Sus scrofa: one gene and its partners. The protein of the gene in region 1 binds, or shares a complex with, the protein of each later gene. Links are inferred from orthologs where the notes say so. Each region holds a gene or a part of one and is shown in the gene's direction. Other genes may lie near its edges. The genes, in order: PPFIA1, PPFIBP1 and ERC1.

The links.
Region 2: PPFIA1 (region 1) and PPFIBP1 share a complex: the UniProt entries of both Homo sapiens proteins name them as parts of the cortical microtubule stabilization complex. The link is inferred for Sus scrofa from reciprocal best matches to the Homo sapiens genes PPFIA1 and PPFIBP1.
Region 3: PPFIA1 (region 1) and ERC1 share a complex: the UniProt entries of both Homo sapiens proteins name them as parts of the cortical microtubule stabilization complex. The link is inferred for Sus scrofa from reciprocal best matches to the Homo sapiens genes PPFIA1 and ERC1.

What each region holds. Positions count from the first base shown.
Region 1 is NC_010444.4:3,081,849-3,085,499, reverse strand, and holds part of PPFIA1 (liprin-alpha-1), read left to right. Parts: intron 1-666; coding exon 667-842; intron 843-937; coding exon 938-1,035; intron 1,036-3,651. UniProt on the Homo sapiens protein: May regulate the disassembly of focal adhesions. May localize receptor-like tyrosine phosphatases type 2A at specific sites on the plasma membrane, possibly regulating their interaction with the extracellular environment and their association with substrates.
Region 2 is NC_010447.5:46,037,787-46,041,437, reverse strand, and holds part of PPFIBP1 (liprin-beta-1), read left to right. Parts: intron 1-3,330; coding exon 3,331-3,453; intron 3,454-3,651. UniProt on the Homo sapiens protein: May regulate the disassembly of focal adhesions. Did not bind receptor-like tyrosine phosphatases type 2A.
Region 3 is NC_010447.5:68,251,245-68,254,895, forward strand, and holds part of ERC1 (ELKS/Rab6-interacting/CAST family member 1), read left to right. Parts: intron 1-633; 5' UTR 634-788; coding exon 789-1,457; intron 1,458-3,651. UniProt on the Homo sapiens protein: Regulatory subunit of the IKK complex. Probably recruits IkappaBalpha/NFKBIA to the complex. May be involved in the organization of the cytomatrix at the nerve terminals active zone (CAZ) which regulates neurotransmitter release.

The sequences.
Region 1 (3,651 bases):
GAGCGGTTGATGACTTGTCAGCAGGGTCAGGTGGGGGCCCGTGTTGTCCAGAGCTTCTGGGTCCCTGCGCGGTTGGTTGGAGGTCGGCCTTGGCCGTTCCCGAATCTTGGCAAGAGGAGGGCTGAGGTCTCCGGCGGTGACTGTGTCCTTTCAGTCCTGTCAGTTACTGCTTCCTTCTCGCTTTTGAAACTGTTTTAATTCACGTGATGGGTTGTGAGATCAACATGTCCATGAAGGAAACAAAGTGTTAAAAATAAAGGCAGTGAGTAGGTTTGATTGATCCTTCAAACTTGTTCATGAGTCGTGATCATTCTTTGCTGGCGCATTGTCGCACATAAAAGCTATGTCAGGAGAGTAGCCTGTGGCCAGTTGCAGCTTTATTGTGGTTTGGTAAATAAGGGCAATTTATGAGCACAAATGAGCCTGGCTCTTCAATGGTAGAATCCCTTTTGTGGAAAGCTGGCACATTTGCCGGCAATTTAAAGGTGGTCAACAAGGCCCAGGATTATGTCGAAGTTGCAAACACAGCAGCCTTGTCGCCAGTGCCCTTAGCCTCTGAGAATGTGTCGTAGCTTCAAAGCCCCGTTTCAAGGTCATGTAAACAGCCCTCTGGCCGCTTCTCTGGGGCTGCTCCCCGCACTGATGGTTCTCACTTGTTGAAAGCAGACCCTGGCCTACGGGGACATGAACCACGAGTGGATCGGCAACGAGTGGCTGCCCAGCCTGGGCCTCCCGCAGTACCGCAGCTACTTCATGGAGTGCCTGGTGGACGCGCGGATGCTGGACCACCTGACCAAGAAGGACCTCCGCGGGCAGCTGAAGATGGTCGACAGTTTCCACAGGTGGGCGCCGCAGGGCCGCCTCGCCGGCTGGCTAGAGGCTGTGCCTGTTGCCGCGTCTAAAGTTTTTCTTTCTCTTTCTTTTTAATCGGAAATAGAAACAGTTTCCAGTGTGGAATTATGTGCCTGCGAAGGTTAAATTATGACCGAAAAGAACTGGAGAGAAGAAGAGAAGAAAGCCAGAATGAACTAAAAGGCTAGTATGGTCTGTTGCGTTGATCCGGCATAGTTCTTGCTTCCCAGTGTATTCGCAGCCTTGGTGATTTCCTATTTTAAAAAAAAAAGCAAATCAGGAAATGCGTTCAGTGGAGGAGACTCATCTGGCCCCCTGGAGGAGGAGGGAGGGGTAAAAGGAGTGGAGCTAGCATCCGCCTCCGCGACCAGAGAACTGGCGCCTGTGTGCGTGGGCTTATACCTCAGTCATTAGGTCAAGGTCTCAGGGTAAACACGTTCCCCACGACGTTAGAGAATTCTTGTTTGGGTGACATGCCCCGCGTCTCCCAGAGATGCTGGTACACAAAGTAGGTAACTCCAGGAGTTCCCATCGTGGTGCAGCGGAAGCGAATCTGACTAGGAACCATGAGGTTGCGGGTTCAATCCCTGGCCTCGCTCCGTGGGTTAGGGATCCGGTGTTGACGTGAGCTGTGGTGTAGGTCGCAGACGCGGCTCGGATCCCGCGTTGCTGTGGCTGTGGTGTAGGCTGGTGGCTACAGCTCTGATTAGACCCCTAGCCTGGGAACCTCCATATGCTGTGATTGCAGCCCTAGAAAAGGCAAAAAAACAAAAAACAAAACAAAGTAGGGAACTCCAGGGATGCTGGTTACATGCTGTAGGTAGCTCCAGAGATGCTGGCACACGCTGTAGGTAAGGTAGCTCCCGAGATGCTGGCGCACGCCGCAGGGAACTCCAGGGATGCTGGTGACACACTGTAGGGAACTCCAGAGCCGAGTACAGGATCCTGCTGGTCTCTCTTGATTCTTCTCTCTTTGTGTACCCAAAATGCGTTCATTGGGATCATTTCTCCATCCATCTTGATGCCGGGAGCTTTTAGGGCTGCTTCCGTCTGAAGGTGCATCCTTCTGTCGCCTCGCTTTTCCTCCCGTGGGCTGGCAGAGGACCCACTCTGCTGTCTGTGCCTGTGGCCGAGGACGGAGTGTAGAGCATCTCGTGCTTCCTCGTCTCCTCTGGAGACGGATGGAGGGCATCCTTTGCGAGAGGCGCCTTCTCGAGGGAGGTCCTCCCGCCGCAGAGGGCACTCCCTTGATGTCACCGTGAACAGTGCTCCTCTGGCCATTTGTCTGCGGACTCGAGGAGCACGGAGGACAGGGAGCTCTGCTCCCAGGCTGGAGGGACGGGCCTTGGAGGCAGATGGGCTGTCCTTCGCCGGGGAGGGCCAGGCGTCTCGGTTAGAAGCGGGACGTGGGTGTGGGAGGACCGACCGGGAGGCGGGGTGCTCGTCTCACTCCCTGTGCCTCTGAATGGGATGAGCCAGTGCAGGGGAGCCTTCGACACCGGCTCAGAATGGAACCTCCTGCTCCCTGGGGCTCAGGTGAAGGGTCCGGCCCGGACCCTGCTAGGGCGCAGGTTCGATCCCTGGCCTGGGAACTGCCACATGCCATGGGTGTGGCCCAAAAAGTGAAACCTCCCAGAATTTTCAGAAAATAAAGGAATCACTAATGATAGTGATAGCAATACTTATTGAACCACTGTGGGCACTGTCATAGGTTACTTTCTTTGATCCGTACGCAGCCCTGTGAGGGTGTGTGATGGTTTCATCCCTGGTTTTTACTAAGAAATTAAAGGTGAAAATTTAATGGCTGCAGAGATGGCCCATTTGAAGGCCGGTCTGGTCGTGACTGAGTTACGGGGAAGCGTGAGAAAAGCCAGTAGCCAGCATTCATGCCGTGTGTGCCTTTGTCTAGAGAAGCGTTTGGAGATGATGTGTGTGAAGCTGTTTCACTTGTTTCCCAGATCCCCCTTTTTTTTTGGCTTCTCTAGGGCTGCACCCACGGCACATGGAGCTTCCCAGGCTAGGGGTCGAATCCGAGCTGTAACCGCCAGCCTACACCACAGCCACAGCGACTCAAGCTCCGAGCCACGTCTGCGACCTACACCACAGCTCACGGCAACACCAGATCCTCAACCCACTGAGCAAGGCCAGGGATCAGACCTGCATCCTCATGGATACTAGTCAGGTTCTTAACCCGCTGAGCCACAGTGGGAACTCCAGGCTTCACAATTATAAATGAAAGGTTTGTGCTGAATTGAGCAAGCTGTCCTGACATAGTGCCAACTCTTGATGACGGGAACAAAGTGTATGGGAGTCTGTATCTGAGCCATGTTCGTGCCTGATGGGCATTCACTTTTTTTTTTTTTTGTCCTTTTGTCTTTTTAGGGCTGCACCCAAGGCATATGGAGGTTCCCAGGCTTGGGGTCCATGTGGAGCTGTAGCCACCGGCCTACGCCACGGCCACAGCAACGCCAGATCCTTAGCCCGCTGAGCGAGGCCAGGGATCCAACCTGCGTCCTCACGGACGCTCGTCGGGTTCGTTCACTGCTGAGCCACGACGGGGCCTGGCGGGCATTCACCTTCTTATGTGTCCTTCCGTCCCTGACCCCTGGATCCTCGTCCTGAAGGTGAACGGGGTAATGACGTCGTTTCTCCTGGGCTCACGCGGAGGACGAACAGCTTCCGCTCGGATAGAAACGGGCCGAGCCCGGTGTGTAAGCGCCGGAGGGCTGGTGCGCCCGCCCGCAGGGCCTCCCCGCCCTTGTGGAGTCGCGTCGTGGTCGGGAGCCGGGGGCTGCGGGC
Region 2 (3,651 bases), on another chromosome or scaffold:
AATCACAAAAGACAAACGTATGACTTCCATGGCTATAAAAGAATAAATTACCAGAAATCCAAAATCAAAGAAAGTCTGTTTGAATCTGGTATCCTGGATTTGGATCCTGGATCAGAAAAAGGACCTAGTGGGAATATAAATTGGTGCATCTACTATGAAAAGCAATATAGAGGTTCCTCAAAAAACTAAATATGGAGCTGCCATATAATCCAGCAAGCCCATTCCTGGGCATATATCCAGATAAAACTTAAATTTGAAAAGACACATGCACCCGTATATTCATGGCAGCACTATTCAAAATAGCCAAGAATGGAAACAACCTAAATGCTACACACACACACACACACACACACACACACACACACACACACACACACAATTGTATATTACTCAGCCATAAAAAAAGAATGAAATAATGCCATTTGTAGCAACGTGGATGGACCTGGAGATTATCTTACTAGATGAAATAAGTCAGAAAGAGAACGACAAATACCGTATGTTGGCACTTCTATGTAGAATCTAAAATACAACACAAATTAACTTATTTATGAAACAGAGACAGACTCACAGACATAGAGAACAGACTTGTGGTTGTGAAGGGGGAAATGGGATAAGGGAGAGATGGATTAAGAGTTTAGGATTATCGGAGGCAAACTGTTGTATGTAGGATGGATAAACAACGAGATCCTAGATGGCTCAGGGAACTATATTCAATATCCTGTGATAAACCGTAATGGAAAAAAATATGAAAAAGTATATGTATATATAACCGAATCACTTTTCTGTATAGCAGAAATTGACACAACACTTTAAATCAACTATACTTTAATAAAAATGTTTAAAAATGGAGAAATTTTAAGTATTCTTTTTTTTTAAAGTAAAAAAAAAAAAAAGGACCTAGTGGAAAAACTGGTAAAATCTGAATAAAGTCTAAGGTTTAGTTGAATTTGATTTTGTCTGTATTAATGTCTTCGTTTGTTGAATATCCTGGTTATAGAAGATGTTGGCATTAGAGGAAGCTGGGTGAAGGGCCTGTGAGTCTCTGTACTCTCTTTGGCAGCTCCTGTATAAATCTAAAATTACTTAAAAGATTTTTAAAAACCTCCCCTGGAGTTCCCGTCGTGGCTCAGTGGTTAATGAATCTTACTAGGAACCATGAGGTTGAGGGTTCGATCCCTGGCCTTGCTCAGTGGGTTAAGGATCTGGCGTTGCCATGAGCTGTGGTATAGGTTGCAGACACGGCTCGGATCCCACGTTGCTGTGGCTCTGGCGTAGACCAGTGGCTACAGCTCCGATTAGACCCCTAGCCTGGGAACCTCCATATGCTGCAGAAGTGGCCCTAGAAGAGGCAAACAAACAAACAAAACCCTCCCCTAAAGTGTTTTGATTTAAAAGAAAATGACCCCTGCTTTTAAAACCCCTTAAACTAATTAATATCTTATTTACATTGTAAATACTTAAGCATTTCAAATTTTTTTTAATCTGAAAGACTTTTAATTAGTTGGTAATAGTGCACATGGAAATGTTTTGAATGTGCATCTCAATCTTAGATTAAAAATGTTAAATGTGGAGTTCCCATCATGGCACAGCGGAAACAAATCTGACTAGGAACCATGAGGTTGCAGGTTCGATCCCTGGCCTCGCTCGGTGGGTTAAGGATCCAGCATTGCCGTGAGCTGTGGTATAGGTCACAGACATGGCTCGGACCTGGTGTGGCTGTGGCATAGGCCAGGGGCTACAGCTCTGATTGGACCCCTAGCCTGGGAACCTCTATATGCCGCAGGTACAGCCCTAGAAAGACAAAAAGACAAAAAAAAAAAAAAAAAAAAAAAGTTAAATGCCTTTTCTAACTTATTATTACATTAAGAAATTAATCTAGAAAAGAATTTGGGAAATCATTTTTTAAGGCTCAGTTAGTAGCCTTAAGGATTTAAACTGTCCTATAATTTTATTTTAAAAATATTCCTATAGTAGATTAATTTTTCCCTTGCAGGAAATGTTATCGGTAAGGCGTGTCTGAAATGGATATTTTCCTTGTTTATTTTCTGGGTGTGTTTGCAAGCAGACTAGTGCTTTTCTTGACACTACCGCCCCCAAATCACTTTCTAAGATAATTTGTTTTGGTGTGTTTGGTATGTTTTTAAAAGTTCCCAATAGCCACAGACTTGGTGAAAGTTACTTCTTAAAGGAATCGCCTGGTGATCTGTGCTGCTACTTAACAACTTCTTTATTTCTCTTCTGTCCTTACCTCTCACCGAAAGCTTTGCATCGATTAATATAATTATTCCAAACCTCTTATCAATAAAACACTATAATCTAGAAGCAGAGATTTCTTGAGTCTGGGGGGTTAATATCACAGAAGCAATCTTCCACTTTTCCCCCAAACTGTGATGTGCCTGAGCTCAGAAAACCAACTCATCAGTGATCATCCCAGCTCTCAGTTATCTGCTTCATCAAATCAAATCAAAGCAGGTTACTTTCTGTGGTGACCCAGGGAGTGCTTTTTTTTCTTTTTTAATTTTTATTAGAATATAGTTGATTGTGTTGTGTCGATTTCTGCTGTGTAGCAAAGTGACACAATCATACATATATATATATACATTTTTCTTCTAATACTATCCTTCCAAAATGTTCTACCTCAAGAGAGTGAATATAATAGAACCTCATTGCTTATCCATTCTAAATGTAATAGTTTGAACTACCACCCACAAACTCCCCGTCCATCCCACTTTCTCCTCCCTCCCCCTTGACAACCAAGGAGTGCTTTTCTTTCTTTCTTTCTTTCTTTCTTTCTTTCTTTCTTTCTTTCTTTCTTTCTTTCTTTCTTTCTTTCTTTCTTCCTTCCTTCCTTCCTTCCTTCCTTCCTTCCTTCCTTCCTTCCTTTCTTTCTTTGGCTGCACCCACAGCATGGGGAATTTCCCAGGCCAGGGATTGAACCTGTGCCACACCAGCAATCCGAGCCACAGCAGTGACAGCGCTCAGTCCTTAACTCCCTGAGTCACCAGGGAACTCCTGGGAGTGCTTTCCAAACTGTGCTTTTCAAAGCTGTTCAGTCCCATGATCCTATCTCAGTAGACGAGAGAAACAGGTAGAAATTAGCTTCAGTTGGAACAACATGAATTTTGGTTTTCATTTATGTTGGGGTCCTGGAGAAAATTTTGTTCAGAACAGGAAAAAGGGTTCTGTTCCTAAAGAAAAGCTTTGAAAATGCTGACAAGCCCTTGGGGGCCTATCAGTGGAGGGGCTCTTCTACTTTACCTTGAGTTTTCTGAGATGTCCCTAAGAAGGTTCTCCTGCTCAGAGAACTCCTCATTTTGTTTTGTTTTGTAGGATGACTTACTGTCTCTGAAAGTTGTAAGTGTGCTCCATCATCTCAGCATCAAAAGGGCCATCCAGGTCCTGAGGATCAATAACTTTGAACCAAACTGTCTACGGAGGCGGCCGTCTGATGAGGTAGCATCTGAGGTCAAGGTTTACACAGCATGCACTTACCATGCACATGCCTGTCCATGTATGGAGGCAAAGACCTGTTTCCTCTTGGAACCTGGGGAAGTAAAGCATCTGGTTCTCTCAGAGCCTCAAATCCTGCCTCGTTGACTTCTTTGGCTTTGTTTTCCTCTGTGCCTTCCTTTTCCCCACATGATGGTTCTA
Region 3 (3,651 bases), on another chromosome or scaffold:
CCGGTTATGAAGGATGCCGTAGAAATTTTCATTGGCCTGTGAAGTGGTTGGGGAAGAACTGACACCTTTACAGTGTTTGTCTTTTCATCCTTGAACATGGATAACTTTCCTTTTGTTCAGGAAAGTTTTATGGTTTTTTTACAAAAATTATTGAACATTTTTGTTAGATTGATATCAAAGTGTTTTTATGGTTTTGTTGCTATTTAAAAAATGCATTTTCTAATTATTATTACTGATGTACAGGAAAGTATTGATATTTATGTATTGGTCTGTACCTAAGCAGTTGGTTGAGTTCTGTTATTGGTTCTAATAACTCGTCAGTTGATGATGTTGGGTTTTCCAGTTAGAAAATCGTATATTCACACATTGACTATTTTTTTCTTTTCCTTGCTAATCTTTATACCTCTTATTTCTTTTTCTTTTCCATTTGCTTGGTTTGGTTTCAATATTCAGTTTTGAGACATGGTGGATGTTTTTAGAGTGATGTTTACTGAGAAATAAGTTGTGCTCTGAACAAATGCATGAGTAAACATGATTAAAGGGGAGCTATTCCTCAAGTGGGGTCAGTTAAAAGTGTCTGAGAAGGGAAATGTTTCTTATTGGAGGAGTTAATGTGTGATCTTTTCATTGCAGATAATGGCGTAAGCTATTTCTTCAAGATTGGACAGCTGAGGACCTGTTATTTCTGATTAGCCTTAAGCGGACTTACAGCCATAGAGAAACCTCAGAGAGTTCCATATTTTGGTTTTGCTTTACACTTGTCCTGGCACCTGAATTCACTTGCAACCATGTATGGAAGTGCTCGCTCAGTTGGGAAGGTGGAATCAAGCAACCAGAGCCCTGGGCGTTCACCTAGGCTTCCACGTTCCCCTCGCTTGGGTCATCGTCGAACCAATAGTACAGGAGGGAGTTCTGGAAGCAGTGTCGGAGGTGGCAGTGGGAAAACCCTTTCAATGGAGAATATTCAATCCTTGAATGCTGCCTATGCCACTTCTGGCCCTATGTACCTAAGTGACCATGAAAATGTGGGTTCAGAAACACCTAAAAGCACCATGACACTTGGCCGATCTGGAGGACGTCTGCCTTATGGTGTGAGGATGACTGCCATGGGCAGTAGCCCCAATATAGCGAGCAGTGGGGTTGCTAGTGACACTATCGCATTTGGAGAGCATCACCTCCCTCCTGTGAGCATGGCATCTACCGTTCCTCACTCTCTTCGTCAGGCAAGAGATAATACAATCATGGATCTTCAGACACAGCTGAAGGAAGTATTAAGAGAGAATGATCTCTTGCGAAAGGATGTAGAAGTAAAGGAGAGCAAATTAAGTTCTTCAATGAATAGCATCAAGACCTTCTGGAGCCCAGAGCTGAAGAAAGAACGAGCCCTGAGAAAAGATGAAGCTTCCAAAATCACTATTTGGAAGGAACAGTATAGAGTTGTGCAGGAGGAAAACCAGGTTGGTTTTATATGTGTTTGCCTTTACGTGCTCTGAATAAGTGAAACTGAATTCATGTGTGTAAATGAAATGAGCTATTCTTTTTCTTTTCTTTCTGAGGTTTTTCCCTTCTTGGCTCATTTATTTTCCTTTTTCCTGTTATTCTTAGTATTTTATGTTCTCTGTGTCTCAGCCTTTTCCAAATTGGTTCTGTGCCTTAATTGTTTTCTGGTTGCTCACCATACTTGCATTTCTTTTCCCTAGCTTCTCTTTCTCTTCTTTTCCTTCAGCATATATTACCTTTTTGAAATCTTGTGAGAATGTAATTTTCCTACATGCTCTAAGGTCTGTCGTCAAAATTATTCAGGCTGTGGAATTCCCGTCATGGCTCAGCGGCAATGAAGCTGACCAGCATCCATGAGGACACAGGTTCGATCCCTGGCCTTGCTCAGTGGGTTAGGGATCCGGCATGGTATAGGTCGCAGATGCAGCTCAGATCCTTAGTTGCTGTGGCTATGTTGTAGTCAGGCTCCGATTGGACCCCTGGCCTGGGAACCTGCATGTGCCTCGGGTGTGGCCCTAAAAAGACAAAAAAAAAAAAAATTATTCAGGCTATGTAATTTAAGTGTGCGGTGTAGTATTAAGATTTACCTTTGTAAATATTTTAAAAAATCTTAAACTATCACAAGGCAGATTCATATGTTGACAGTATAGAATGGATATTAGTTAAAAGTTAATATTAATGGTGTAAATATGTATTAAGTACCAAAAATGAGTAGCAGTTCTTTCACATTTATGAAGTTTAACTTCAGGATCCTTTTTTTTTTTTTCTTTTTTAAGAATTTTTTATTTCTTCAAATTTAAGGATTTAGGGTGGAAGAAAGGCAACTTGGTGTGATTGATTATATGTAAAATATAAAGTGGATTTTGGTAGGAGTTGAATGTTAAATTGAGGTTATTAAATTCATCATTGGATTAAGTAGCCTCCAAAGTACCTTTGTGATGCTGCTGAAAATATTCCTATCACCAGGATGGTTTTTATTATCAAGCAACTTGGAAATATTCATTTTAATGAGGAAAAAAATACTGGCTTCTTTATTTTCAAGTAATTCAGGCAGCTAATTATGCCTATACTTTAAAAGATCTGTGAATAAAAAGCAATGGCAATAACCTCTCTAATTACCAAGCTACATTCAAAGGCAAAATATTGGAGTCTTCTGTAAAGACTATGGTGGGGACTCAGCAGTTCAATCCAGGGGAAGGGAAACAGTCCGCAGGGCTATGATGCCAAAAAACCATATGCACTGAGGGAGGGTGAACACTGCTTTATCTAGATTCCGCCCCTTGCCCTAATTAAATACTAGTGCTGGCAGGAATAGATGCTTCCTGCACCCACTGTAATTACCACACAATCCTAAAATTGTATCACTTTGGTCCAAAAAACGAAGGGTGCAATTTTAAAGCAAAGTGAAACACTGCAATGAGATATAGAGAACTGAGAATGCTAATTAATAGATTATAGTGAGCCAGCAGTGGGCCCTAATTAAACTCTGCATTCATTACACCCTCCACAGCCCTCAGAGGTCAGACATTTTCCACTTTACAGAGAAGATTGGTTTAATAGGATTTACAGTAATTAAACAAATTTCCCCATTTCAGTTTGAGATCGGGGATTTAGATACATTCTAAATGTTTGATTTGATTGGACCATAGAGATCTTGTCTAGAATCCTATCAAATGAAAAATACACCTGTGCTTAGAATGTCTAATGTGCCTGATTCATTATTATGAAGTCCTTTTAGAAGATTCTTTCTAAAATAAATATCCATCTATTTTTATGTTTCATACTACTTTTGTTACTGAACTTTCAAATACTGGTGGTTGGAGAAATGGAACAATATATGTTTTAGCAGGTAAGGTCTTTTTTTTTTTTTTTTTTTTTTGAAACTGACAATGGGGAGGGCTATTTTTTAAATTTTTTTCTTTTTCCAGGTCTGTACACATGGCATATGGAAGTTCCCAGGCTAGGGGTTGAATCTGAGCTACAGCTGCCAGCCTACACCACAGCCACAGTCACAGCAAGTCAAGATCCAAGTGCATCTGTGATAGCTCACGAAATGGAATGCCAGATCCTTAACCCACTGAGCGGACCAGAGAAAGAGTCCTCATGGATACTAGTAGAGTTTGTTACCTGCTGAGCCACAACAGGAACTCT